2 linked regions of the Arabidopsis thaliana genome follow. The protein of the gene in region 2 purifies or fractionates together with the protein of the main gene of each other region. This does not show direct contact. Each region holds a gene or a part of one and is shown on either strand. Other genes may lie near its edges.

Region 1 (7,154 bases), on a different chromosome or scaffold from region 2:
CCAGGAAATCAAAGTCAAGCAAAGCAAAATGGTTAACGGGAAGGGGAAACCAAACCAAGAAATGGGGAATAGGATGGCAAGAAGATCCAGTAGTAGATGACACCTATACACTTCCTTCTAATTTGAAGAAGTTGGAGCTAGAATGTTTCCCTGAAACAAAACCTCCGAGTTGGTTAAATCCCAAAGATCTGAAAAATCTTAAAAAGCTCTCCATCAAAGGAGGAAAACTTAGCCGAATCGGTGATGAGAGTCGAATCACAGAAGATAAATGGGACGTTGAGATCTTGCGTTTGAAGTATCTGCATGAATTCAAGGTTGAGTGGAGAGATTTGCAAACTCTGTTTCCAAAAATGACACTGTTGGAGAAATATAAATGCCCCAAAATCGCATTCTGTCCCACAGATGGTAATGGAGTCTGGACGTCGTCACCAAATATGTGAAGATAACCGCAAAAGCCTTTGTAACTTCTTTAGAAATTATGTATGGTCTCTACACTCTGAATAACAAGATACACACATTCCTGCTTGTATAAATTAAATATTTATCGTAAAGCCTTAAACTGTCTTATAAGATCTTTCAAACAGAGAAATTTCAAATAATATTTGAGAAAAGAAAAACAATCAAAACAATGGTCTTATTCACCCAGACAAGAACAGAACACTATGCCTGGGATTTTACAGCAGAAAATATCTTAAAACAGAAACAGAAACATGAAACAGTAAAAATAAAACCCGCAAGATAATGTTTCAATGCCGGTCGTTATTCAACACGCAAAGCTTCAGGCACACGTAGGAAAAAAGTATGAAAATGATTAAAGAGGCAACGATCCAGATGTTTAGTACTGTGTAAGTAGATCTTGCTCCAGCCTCTTTTATGATCAGCATTCATGTGGTGGAGGTACATCACTGTGGTCAACCATTACGTAGTCCTGCAAATACACGCAGTGTAAAATGCTAAGATGAAGCTGAAAAGAGACAAGATATGTTGCAAGACGACTCAAGCACATACGACCTGCAAAACAGAGAAAAATATGATGCAACTAAATTTTTAACAATTTTGGATGTGGAAGTGTTCCTCTTCTGATGAGTTCTGAAGTGTGCTAGACTGTTTGACATGTAAAAGATAGCTACAATAATGGTCCTAAATGACAAATGTTCACAGGAGAGGTGGTAGAGTAGAAAGTTGCAACTTACCCCGAATTTTGGACAATTCTCCACTTTCAAATCCAGATTAGTGTGAGTTGACACTTCAACTCCTACAACAACTTTCTCCAGGTTCTCACAATGCTTTAAATTCAGGACTGGTAGGCTGGCAGGCATCTCCGGGAAAATCGTTTTGATTTTCGGGCAGCAATCTAAGCTTAGGTTCTTCAGATTCTCTAACTTAGCAATAAAGCTTATAGTCTCCAATGAGAGAAGGTTTGTAATCGATAAAGTCTCCAGTGATTTCAAGTTCTCCTCATCCACACCATCGAAAGGGTCTTTTATGTCAAAGCACATCCTTAGCCAGCAACCCTTCACCAATTTGGCCTTCTCAAAGATAGATTTGACCCTTTCAGGAGTACAGTCCACAAAAGACACAAACTCAGCACTAGCTAGTGCTTCCTCATCTAGCTTATTAGTTTCATTGATCTCCAAGACTTCTTCTTGTGGAATTTTGGAATCAACAAGTGATGTTAGTGCCTTCTGATATAGAGCCCTATCTATGGGGACTTTAAGAAGACGTTCCTTGTTGACATCTACTTTCTCGGTACAATCACTGGCGCGAGGTGCATTCGATTCAACCTCTCTTATTTCTACAGGCTTCTTTTCTGTGATTTCTTGAGATATAACAACTGCATCAGAGGAGCTGGCATTCTCAGACCTATCACGTTCAATGTCTTCCTTTATTTCTCTCCATGTGTCACGTTCAAAACATTTTCCATCTGCCCGAGTAAAACGCTTCAGACAATGGATTTTGGTATCCGCTGGCAACTCTGGTGTCTCCACTTGGGTTCCAGACAGATCCACTACACGTAGGTAAAACATTTTCTCAAATGATCCCTCAATCTTTGCCAGCTTGGCACTGCCGGAAACATCAATGACTTCGAGATTTTCTAGTTTCTCGATGTTTGGGATGGCATCTAGGTTGATGCAATCACGTAGGAGGAGTTCGTTGAGACTGGACAGGTCCTCGATGGTGGTAGCCAACTCGCTAAGATTAGTTCCCGAGAGATTAAGAGTTTTGAGTTCAAGCTTATCCTCGAAGCACACTTCAAGCATTTCCACTAAGCTCGTAGTGCCAGAAAGATCAAGAATTTGAAGTCCTGACAAGGGCTTCAAACTAGGCAACCTTCTCAATTTGCTACAGTTGCGCAACAAGAGCCGAGTCAAGGAGTGAAGCTTGGCGGCCACCGCAGAATCCTGGAATATTGGCAGTCGCTCTATTTGGCTCCCCGAGAAGTCAAGATGCTGAAGTTTTGTAAGAAGATAAAAGTTTTTGTTTTTGCTCTTGTTTTTCTTGGCACCATCTGCGTTGTCGAAACAAGTTCGAAGCCCACTAGCACCAGAAACATCAACAACCTCAAGATTTACTAGTTCTTGTATGTTTGGCAGATCTTGCAATAAAGGGCAGTCTTTGATGATGAGACAGTGAAGTTCCTTCAGGCCAGAAATACTGGGAGGGGAAGACTCGATCTTAAGCCCAGAGAGGTGAAGACTTCGGAGTTCAGGAAATGACTCAAAGAATTTTTCAGATATTTTGCTCAGGGAGCTAGCACCAGAAACTTCAAGAGTATTTAGCTTTGTAAGAGCCTTAAGCTCTTCAATGCTTTTCAGGAGATCACAGTCCCTGATTATAAGAACCCGGAGGAGTTTGAGCTGATCTGAAAAAGACGGGACAAATGGTTTTACTGTGGGCTCAAAAAGGCCAAGTACTTCAAGCTCTTTCAGATTCTTGAAGAACTTTTTAGGAGTTACGCGACGCAGACGATCTCCACTAACCAGAATCGTGGTAATCTTGTCTCCTTTCTTTGCTTGCACTGTTTTAATCATATCATCAAGTTGGGTGATTTTCCCTATTCCTTTTCTCTTGTTACCACCATAGACTCTAGAAAATCCAAGCCGAGATTTCCCTAAATGCCCACCACGTCGAGGATCAATTACATTTCTCATCGCCATCTCTGGTACTACCACATTGTTTTCTTGTATCTTCAGCATTCCGCGGTCTATAAGCTCCATGAAGATAGAATGACCATCCTGGTACGCCTTTTCGACAGACCTAACAGGATCAAAGTAGCCTTCAAGTATCCATTGTGTGATCAGGTCACGGTAGTAAACACAGCCACAATGCTCAAAGAAGTCCAAGCTATGCCAAAAACAATCCAATATTGTATCCTTCAATGGACCATCGGTTTTGAACAGCTTGTATGCAAGAAGCAGGATTGGATTTTCTCCACTTGCTTTCTTAGGGCTCTCAGAACTAGATTCCTGGTCGGATGGATTACCCCGCTCAGCCGAGAGAACCATTTCTATCTTTTCTTTTAGTAACCTCTCTTCTTCGTCCTTATTAAGCTTATAGGACTTGCTCTTGACAGTGTACTCTAGGGACTTGGCGAGCACGTTGATTGCAGCTGGCAAACTCTTGCTCTTTTTCAGCATGTGGTTTAACAGTTTCTCATCAGTCCCAGGAACGGGGTCAAAGAAAAAATTTGGCATATCCTTGAAAAACATGGACGAAGTAAATAAAGCCTCTGCCTCCTTTAGGTTGAATGATTCAAGTAAATCTTGTGACTCATTTGTGGTCTGGAACGTAATTTCACCATAAGTGTTTGTGCTCCCCCATAAGTCATCTATGGTAGGAGGTACAACTTTTTCATGTTTCTCCTCTGTTTTGACCCGGGCTTGAGACTCAGGTTCCTCCTTATCAGCTGATCTAATTTCGTCTTCACCATCTGTGTCCTCTTTCTTTTCCCCGGATTGCGAATCATTTGCCTCCCCCTCAGCATGCTCACCAGATTTTGTAGCCTCCTCAGTTTCTTGTCTTCTTGTAATAAGGATTTTTCGAGGTGTGTGATCTTTCAGAAAATCCTCAAGGCCTAAATGCACCATCACCTCGTACTCACTGGTCATTCCTTCATCGTCAAGAATCAAAAGAAGATACGGCTTTCTTTCAGATGATGTCTGAGCTTTATCCTCTCCTCCGGCTACTACTTGAGTCGTTTTCTCCTTTGCGGCATCGGTTGGATTCTTGTTTCCATGGTCTTTTGCTTTTTTCGCAGCCGGATCCACCAGTTTTTTCTCAGCCTCCAGTTTCTCTGCGGCTTCCTTCTCCTTCTTCTTCTTGTCATCCTCCAATTTTTTCACGACGGCTTCCTTCTTTTCCAAGAGATACTTCTCAATCTTGGGCTTCAAATCCTTGAGCAAATCTTCAACCTTCTTCTCCTCTTCCTCATCTTCATCTCTTTCACCGACTTCAGTCTCTTCAAAATCAGAGTATAAAGATAGCTGTGAAGCTATGTTCTCATAAAGAGACCATTCGTCTTCAAACTTCTTCTCCTTGATATAGTTGTCGTTGACTTTAAACTTCCTGTTGAGATGCAACCAGAGAGTCTGGTAGCAAAGAACATCCTTAGAGGCTTCTTTGTCAACCATTTGTGCCATCCTTGTCTTCCCGATCCCAGCTTCGCCAACCAGCAATACTCTTTGATCACCACCTCCTCCCAGAGTTTCCACTATCTTCTTACACAACACCACATCCTTCTTTTCTCCCATTGCTGCTGGAACTTGATCCCAACAAAAAAAAACAAATTCAGTCAAAAAAGTCAACCAAATTGGTTCTATATATCATCAGCCTGAGAAATTCACATTTTTCGTTATTCCTTCACTAATAAGTATATAAAATTCGTTTTCAAAGTAAAGAGGAGATAATTTCTTGTTCTTGAATCATCTCTCTAGACAACCTTATGATTAGTTTTTGACCCAAAAGGAAAAAAAAGACACAACAAGTTCTTAGATCAATTCGAGATACATAAAAAGATATTGGTTTACAAGATATTCTAACAAATTTCAGTATATTCATAGATCGAAAGCAGAGAAAGAGAGAGGGACAGAGAGAATAGTAACCTGGTTTAATCTCCTCCGTCTCGGCCGCCATCTTCAACGGATCAGACATTCGTCGCTGATGAGAGTTAGTCTTCTCTCTTTCGAGCTCTTTGCCTTCTCAGCAAAGCGAAGTCAACCTCTGCTTTATCTCTCTCTCTCTCTCTCACTTTCTCTCCATTTTCTCTCGTATCTTTCTCTCTCTTTTAACATCATTTCTTCTAATAATCACATGCGTATTTATATTTCTTTTCCTAGCCAGACGGGGTGAGCCAGGCGCTAAAATTAAATTATAGGATTTTTCTCGTAAGAAATTAAAATTCTAAATAACAATTTTCTTTAAATTTATTTTCAATTTGCAAATATATATATATATATATATCAAACTCATGTAATTAAATCTAACCAATAATATACATATTTAAAGAGTTTTTACAGTCACATATTAAAGTGTCTAATTCTTAAAATGACAATTGGACTATTCATTATAAGCGTGTATATCGAAGTTTCATACTATTTTAATATTCAAAAATATTTTAAAAAATTTTATATATGATATTGAAAAATGTTCAAAAGAATTTAGAAGAATTTATCTGTATTTTTTTGTTTTTTTAACAATTATTTGTTGTCAAATTACACAAAAAAATAGTTTTCATAACAAAAACAATTAAAAATAATAATTAGGGCTCAAAAAAAAAATCCTAGAGACCATAGTAAATTAGTAATGTTGAGCCGGCCTTATGTAAATGCTTCATTTTAAAAATTTAAAATAATAATTTAATAAACTTAGCAATAGTGTCAACAAGTTATATTGTAAATTAATATAACTTCAATTTCAAAATAAAATAAAAAATAATATAACTTCATGAGTTTGATTTACATTTTTGACTTTTTATAAAATTATATATAAACTTGCAACAACAAAAACTTAAATTATATGATAAAATTGGATTAAGTTTTAGTGGGGCAATGTGAACGAGTGCATGATCAAGTTGGACATCATCGTTTCTGACATGTATTGAGTTAACATATATTTATGCAGATACGTTCATGATTTAAGATAACATAAACTGAGAACACTGTAAACTGTCCTCGCTGATACCCTATTTCTTATCAATTTTTTTTTTTTTCTCTATGAATAAACACACATGGTATTTTACTTTGAGCGTTTTGTTCGGATCACATTTATAGATTAACCCACTTGGGAAAACCCAAGCTATGATCCTACAAATTTCTAGTAGCGGATCCACTCCTTCAGCTATTGTTTGAACACTACTTACTTGTCAGTAGAGTACGATTTATAACGTTTTTTGGTAAAAAAAAAAATGATTTATCTTTTGAAATAAAACTGATGCGAGAATCAGAATGAGAAAATGTGATCGGATGGAAAGCTAGGTTAGAGATGAGGAGAAGTTGTGTTAAAGTTCTAGGCTTTGGTTGACAAATGATACACGGCCTAATTTGACGCTTAATGAGATTAGGAAGGAGAAATCGAATCTTAGAGTGGAGTTAGAGATTTTGGAAGGCAATGTGAATCACGGTGAATCAAGGATTTTGGACAATTCCCCATGAAATTTTATTTACAACACTTTCTTTTTGCTTGTAAGCTCAAATTTTTATGCAAAAACATCTAAATATTTTTGAAATAATGTGAAGGAAATAAAAATTATAATGAGTTAGAAAAATAATCAAAAGAATCTAGACAGTCTCCATTTAGCTTGGATTGGTGTTTTTGTTTTCTTTTATTTGTCACTGTTTTTGTTTTGTTTAAAATTATATTTTGGATTAGTACTAATATTATTAATTTATTTTTTTAATAAGTTTATGAAACTATATAAGAACGAACTTCAAACTATTACTATTCTTTATTGTAAAAATCATTTATTAAAATATATTGTTAATCAAAATAGATTATAGATGTATAGCGAAAGTTACGGTCCGAATTCAAATATGTATGGCCCAATATGGTGGCCCAATATTATCGAAATATATGGCTCAACTTAATTAATATACACATTAAGAAGTTTGTTAAGGATAATTAGTGCTCGAAATTCATTTCAACAACATCACCATTCC
Region 2 (6,218 bases):
GCCGGAGGAGAGATTGGAAATCTGTACGCCGGGACCTGATGAGGTGTGAAATAACTGGGGTCATGAAGCTTCTTCTTCTTCTTCTGACTGGCTTTTCTCTCAATTTGCTATCCTTGTTATTTTCACCTTCACTTTCATTTTTTTGTTTTTTTTTCCACAAATCTGACCCCCCTTATATGTTTGGTGTATCATTTTTATGTGTTTGTAATCCATCAAGATCATTTTCCCTTGCCCTAATATTGCAAGCTAAGATTCCGTTTCATGTTCCTCTCTAAGATGGTTTTTGGGTGAACAAATAAACTCTTAACGACATTTTTCTATTGTATCTCAGGACTGGCACAGATTCCAGGTAAGCTATTTAACTGAAATGCACATGTTGTTTAATTAAAGTTGAAAAGCGAGGAAGATGAATGAAGAGTTAACTAACTTCACAATCGGACGAGTAATTAAACTATACTGTAGGAGTCGAAAGTCCTGTAACTTTGACACGAATTTGTGTTTGGTTAAAATTTTGAATAATTTACTCAACTATTGGAATTTAACCACAAAAACCCCTTTCACTGTCGAATATCTCTTTAGTCAAAAGACAAGAGTTCATACATGTTTAGTCTGTGTGACCTATAGATCAAAAGAAACAAAACCCTCTTTTGGTTTCTGCAATAATGGGTTTTTTAGTACAATAAAGTTTCAGGAAATGGATTTCAAAGCTAATAAAGGAAATGACTCCTTCAATTCAATGCCCATAAAAAGAGGCACAAGAAGGGCAAAACACCTCATACAACCAGAAGAAGAGGGTCTATAGTTTTGCATTGCTCTTGAGTGTTTTCCCATCATTGTGCTCAAAAGATTCATACCCCTTTTACTTGGTAAGATGTTCTTTCATCTTTCCCAACAAGAAAAATCTTAAATGCTATATATCTTACTTCACTCGGGGAACTCCATTCATCTTTGCTTCAAGGTTCGAGCCCTCTTTCAGTGCGATTTGAGATTCCTTCTCCATTCCCAGGATACCAAGGGAAGCAGACTGCAGATATGATGCGACATGCCACACGGGAGAGATCACTTGAGCCTGAATTGCATCATCTAAAGCTTCTTTCGGCATGTCACTCATTAGGTAACACAGACTACGCCGAGCACACACTGTTGGAGAGATCATTCCTCCATCAATAAACTGTCAAAGTTTCAAGAAAGATAATCAGGCTAATGCTATGTGTTTGTCTACTTCATTTTATGTACAAAACAAAACTCGACCTGTGTGTAACACTCGATGGCCTCTCTAAAGTCTTTTTGCCTGAAAGCCACATCACCCTTCTTCTTCGAGTTCAAAGACTCTTGCATCTGGTCTGTCCACATATGAAACGAGAGCTGCATTGCCAAACCAAAGTAACGCAACACCATGAAGAACCAAGAAAGAAACTATTCACTGATTAACAGAGCCAAACCACTGATTCTTCCAACATAATTCTGAAAAGGTACCTCATTGGTGACACCCTCGTCGTCTTTGTATCCAAGTTTCTCCAGGATCTCAAGCATAGCGGTCAGGTCCCTTCTTGAACAAGCCTCACCAAGAGGGGACAGAGGAGAGACTGAACCACTGTGAGGTAGACCCATTAGAACATGAGACAGGACCTGCAATTTACAATACAAGGAAAATTATCTCGAGTTAACAAAAAGAAACTTGGTCCAAGTTATTCTAATGGCTCGGAAATCAATAGAAACCTCTGTCTCCTTCTGAAGAGGTGTCAAGGCAGTCACTAAAGATTTGGTGTTTGGCCGCTCACGAGCTTCATACTGAAGACAACGAGAAGCTAGGCGTACTAGCTCTGTACCATCACTATCAGAAAACTGCCCATCTAGGCAAGAATCAGTTAGCGTCTGGAGATTTCTGTCTCTAATCAGATCAAGGGCCTGTATAAAACAGATTGAAAGAATCAACCTTCACCTTTTCAAGTAAAAGCTGCAATCTCGTATGGAAAACAAACTTATTATGGCTAAAATACTTACATGGCTAGGAGGTATATGTTTTCCGCTGAGAAGATCAAGCAGAAGAGTGCCAAAGCTGTATATTACACTCTCTGGAGTAATTCTCCCTGTAAATACAATAACAAACAGAACGTGCAACTTAATCTCAACCATATGAATCTTGGAGAAAAAACCAATGATGTACCAGTTCGTAGATATTCAGGAGGGGTGAAAGCAAGATTAGTGCTGTAACTTTTTCCATCCCGACTATTCTTCATCAAGCCAAAAGTAGATAGTCTTGGATTGCATTCCTTATTAAAAGCCCCTTAAGGCGTCAGAGAATGAAGGAATAGCATAGAAACATAGACAGGTTTCGAAGAAAGAGGAAAAACTGCTTATATATAACTAATAAATACCTCATCAAACAAAACCCGGTAAGCATTGAGGTCGTGGTAAAGAGTACGGCCTTTGCTGGTGCAGTATTCAAGAGCTTGTGCTAGATATAAAACAACTCGTAGCCTCATAGTCCATTTCATAGGTTGAGTTTCCCCTAGTAGCATAAAAAGTACACTTAGACACCATAACTTCCAAGACTAGCATGGCAAGATTATTAAATGAAAGGCTATATATAGGAAAAATGATTCTCACAGTGAAAAAGGTGTTTGGCTAGTGTTTCATTAGGCATAAACTCTGCTACAAGTAACCTCTCGTCACCTTCGCAGCAACATCCGAGTAAATTGGCCATTCTCTCACTCCGTAGCTGACCAACCGACCTCGCTTCCTCCTGCACAAGGAAGAAGAACACATTCTCAACATCAAAATAAAAAGAGATGAAACAAACTACAATTTCCAAAGATAAGAACATACCAAGAACTGTCGTGAATCAGGCCAGGCCATTCTAGTAAAACGCTTGACAGCAATCTTCTTTTGGTTCTCCAATTTCCCTTTATAGACAACATTTGGAGCCTTTTCTCCATGTTCAGATACAATATACTCCACGGCAAAACCAGAAGTAGCTGCCTTAAGCTGTTCTAAAGTATACTCCCGGAAATTAGGAACATCAGTGATCTCACTACTCTCTCCATTATCTGCATCAATCAGACAATGTCTTATAGCTTCTTAGATCCAAGTAGAAAAAACACTAATTCATTGTCTTAAAGAAACTAACCAACATCAGGAGCTTCAAGAACAGCTGTCTTGTGTGAAGTGTTCCTGCAACAACTCAGGCTAGAGCATTGACCTCCCATCTAAATAAAACCACGCTCCAAAAAATATTCAAAGACTCTTGCTTTTTTCTCAGCCCAATGGAAAGGAAAGGTTTTGTTTCAATTAGGAGATGTCTCTTCGTAAACCCAGAAGCTGCAATAAAATTATACAGCCAATGAATGATCTTACCAAATCAAATCTTCAATAGTTTCAAAATCAGTGAAGTAGAGAAAAAAGGTCGTACCTTTCGACTCTACTGAGTCAACTCGACTAGTTAGACTCAAAATCGAAAGGGTAAATTTTGGGAATCGAAGCAGAAACAAAGATAAAAAAAAAAACCTAAAGCTGGAGCCAATCAAGAGGAGAAACCTATTATCACCACCACTAAGCTACCATTTGGATCGACGAAGAAATTGTAGGTTCCTCGATTTCATCAAAGAGGTCGAAGGAGAAAACAAAACCAAGACAAGCAAATCCACGTGCTTTACAATAATTTTAAATTAAACAAGAGAAAAAAACGAAATCGAGACAGTATCTCAAAGGAATCGACATGAACGTATGTGATTCATGTGAAGTAAACCATAAACAAATCCCAAATTGTCGACTATTATTTATTCTGATAGTATAAAAACTCTAGATCAGATCACACAGTGAAGTTTAGTACTAGTATACGTGTATCTAATGTATACACATCTGTATTATTGTTATTGAAAAATTGAAAGAAGAAGACAGAGAAAGAAAGATAGAATAAGCCAAGAATTAATTTTACCGACAAGTTGATGAAATATTTTAATGGGTGTGAGAGAAGAAAGAATCTGGCCATTAACCTTATAGAAAGAAAAAAAAAGAGTTGATTAATAAATTGTTTGTCGTACAGATTTTTGGGGTTTTTTATTTTCTGGAAAATAATTAGCACCGCCTGTTAAAGCAAGTGGTCTCGTTCATAGAACAAGACAGAGAGAGAGATATGCTTCTTCCTCTTTCCCGTTGTCTCTTCATGCCGTAATCACTAACGGACTTTTGTAATCAGGGAGGGAACTAATTAAGCACTAAAAACAGTGTTAATCACCGATGTGACGTTGTTTTGTTCAAGGCCCATGGGCTTTTTATATATTGATCACACGGATCTGGTTCAGCTTAAATCAAACCGGGTTTAGGCTGGTTATCGACCAATTAGTTTTGTGGAAGCGATGGTTTAGCTTTGGTTGCGAATTGGAGAAGGTTTAAAGAGTTTGTTAGGATCTAACCGACTCTGTTTTGAGCTTTTAGATTCTCTGTTTCAACATTGCGAGTGTGGAAGCAATTTATTTGATTTGATCATCAGAGTTTGTTTGCGATCACCATTGTTAATTCGGAGAACGAGTTCACGAACGCATGATTGTCAACACATATAGATGCATATCGATAGATAGATACAGATTCAAAGAAGAGAGTTATATACATGGCATGTTTGTTGATTACTCTATCCAGAAGAAGATTCACAGCATAGAGTCGGTCATGGCTGGAAGTCGCCGGAAAAAGTTGACGGGAGCGGAGGGAATGCGGTGTCGGAGCTTTGGATGTCGCATGAAGTAGTAACCGGATAACAGAGCGACAAGTTTAAAAGGGGTAATGTAGAGAGCCATGGCAATAATGAAACAGAACGTCACGAATATTGCGGTGGCGCGTGGATCACGCCAGCTCAGCAACGCTTGCACTCGCTCTCCTTGTGCGGCTATGTCTCCAGCCACCGACTGTACCTTCCCGGCCACAGATCTCAGCCGGTCGTACCTGAAAAATATGAGGGAGGAAAACTATCAACCAATGACCAAGTCTTTCTTCGTTTTCGATTTTCTTTGATCATTCTTGATTTTTGTTACCTCATTTTCACAATGTCCGGAGCCCTTACGGTCGGGAAGGTATCAAACTCTTCGTCAAGCTCATCAGAATTTACATTGTCTGCATAAGATAGTTTGGCGTCCATATGAGGAGGAAATCTAGGCTTAAACCTGTAATTCCACATCCCAATCACAGCCATATACAGAAACACAGTCGGCAAAATCATCTCCGGGAACGTCACAAGCATAGTGTAGAGCACGTGCACCAGAGCCGTCGTCACGGGAGTCTTCCATGTGCACACTTGTTCCATCCATTTCCAAACAGACAGCGCACCGGAGAACACTGTCGTGAACCTATTGAAGTTGGCTTTGCTTCTCCTCATGCTGAACAGCTGACTTTTCCAATCTGTCAAATAGTCAACCACTTCCCGTCTCAGCGGTGGCTCGGACCGGCCTAAACGAACAATAATTATGTTGATAGCCTGCATCTTAAGAGCTTCCTGTTGGTTTGTGGATAAGGGTAGTATGTAATGCATTTTAGGCAGGAGAGGTTTTGTGTATTTCATCAGCATACTGGAGACCGATGTGCAGGTGAATCTCACCGCTAAGTGAAGCTCTCCTCTTTTCTTAAGACCAGTAGGTTGTAGAACAAGTAAAGGGTAAGCATGCGTGTACACACGGCCCGTCTGAAGAGTCGAGAGTCTAATGCGGACTTTCCCAATCGGCTGATCTCTCTTGTTTCCGCCATCTCCTGCTGCGAAATGAGCGTTGTCAAAGACGCAGATGGTTAAAACCGTTGCAGGATCAAAAACCTCCCATGTGTATTGCTCATTGTACTTTGGATTCATGCTGTTGATCACAGTTCGTGACCGAACCCATTTGTGACCGTATTTGGCAACAACGTACGTGTCCGAAGTACCTTTCCCTTCCCGAGTTTTCATCGAATGGAACACATTTGCGTTAAGTATCCCGAGCTCCAAGACACCAATTGCTGGTTTCCAGAGCTTTCTCGACGAAGGTCTGAGATCACTGCTGTTATACATGGACTCATCAAAAACGTGGTAGCCTCCATCGAGAACCGCCTTATACCGGAGCCTAGTAGCGAACTTCACTTTCTTGGCTTTATCAACATCCATAGCGTCTGAGATGGAGTCTTCAAGATGAACCCATCGGTCATGAAAAGGTTTATCATCTATACGTTTCTCTATGTCATTCATCAAAATCACAGCTTTT

The links. Proteins that work in one complex are often made in the same cells at the same time.
Region 1: the proteins of BSK3 (region 2) and AT5G45510 purify together in Arabidopsis thaliana (affinity purification with mass spectrometry, with the first as the bait; one study listed by BioGRID). This does not show direct contact.

Annotation. Positions count from the first base shown.
Region 1 is NC_003076.8:18,442,795-18,449,948, reverse strand, and holds AT5G45510 (Leucine-rich repeat (LRR) family protein), read right to left. Parts: upstream 5,343-7,154; 5' UTR 5,152-5,342; coding exon 5,103-5,151; intron 4,763-5,102; coding exon 1,194-4,762; intron 1,012-1,193; coding exon of another isoform or gene 997-1,011; exon of another isoform or gene 929-996; coding exon 878-928; 3' UTR 503-877; downstream 1-502. Other genes in the region: AT5G45520 (Leucine-rich repeat (LRR) family protein), read left to right, coding at 1-440. UniProt on the Arabidopsis thaliana protein: Probable disease resistance protein.
Region 2 is NC_003075.7:287,798-294,015, reverse strand, and holds BSK3 (BR-signaling kinase 3), read right to left. Parts: upstream 4,238-6,218; 5' UTR 3,413-4,237; exon of another isoform or gene 3,322-3,412; 5' UTR 3,210-3,321; coding exon 3,131-3,209; intron 3,051-3,130; coding exon 2,830-3,050; intron 2,747-2,829; coding exon 2,611-2,746; intron 2,513-2,610; coding exon 2,379-2,512; intron 2,274-2,378; coding exon 2,168-2,273; intron 2,091-2,167; coding exon 2,005-2,090; intron 1,909-2,004; coding exon 1,720-1,908; intron 1,630-1,719; coding exon 1,477-1,629; intron 1,366-1,476; coding exon 1,252-1,365; intron 1,172-1,251; coding exon 920-1,171; 3' UTR 524-919; downstream 1-523. Other genes in the region: AT4G00700 (C2 calcium/lipid-binding plant phosphoribosyltransferase family protein), read right to left, coding at 4,647-4,938, 5,028-6,218. UniProt on the Arabidopsis thaliana protein: Probable serine/threonine kinase that acts as a positive regulator of brassinosteroid (BR) signaling downstream of the receptor kinase BRI1. Mediates signal transduction from BRI1 by functioning as substrate of BRI1.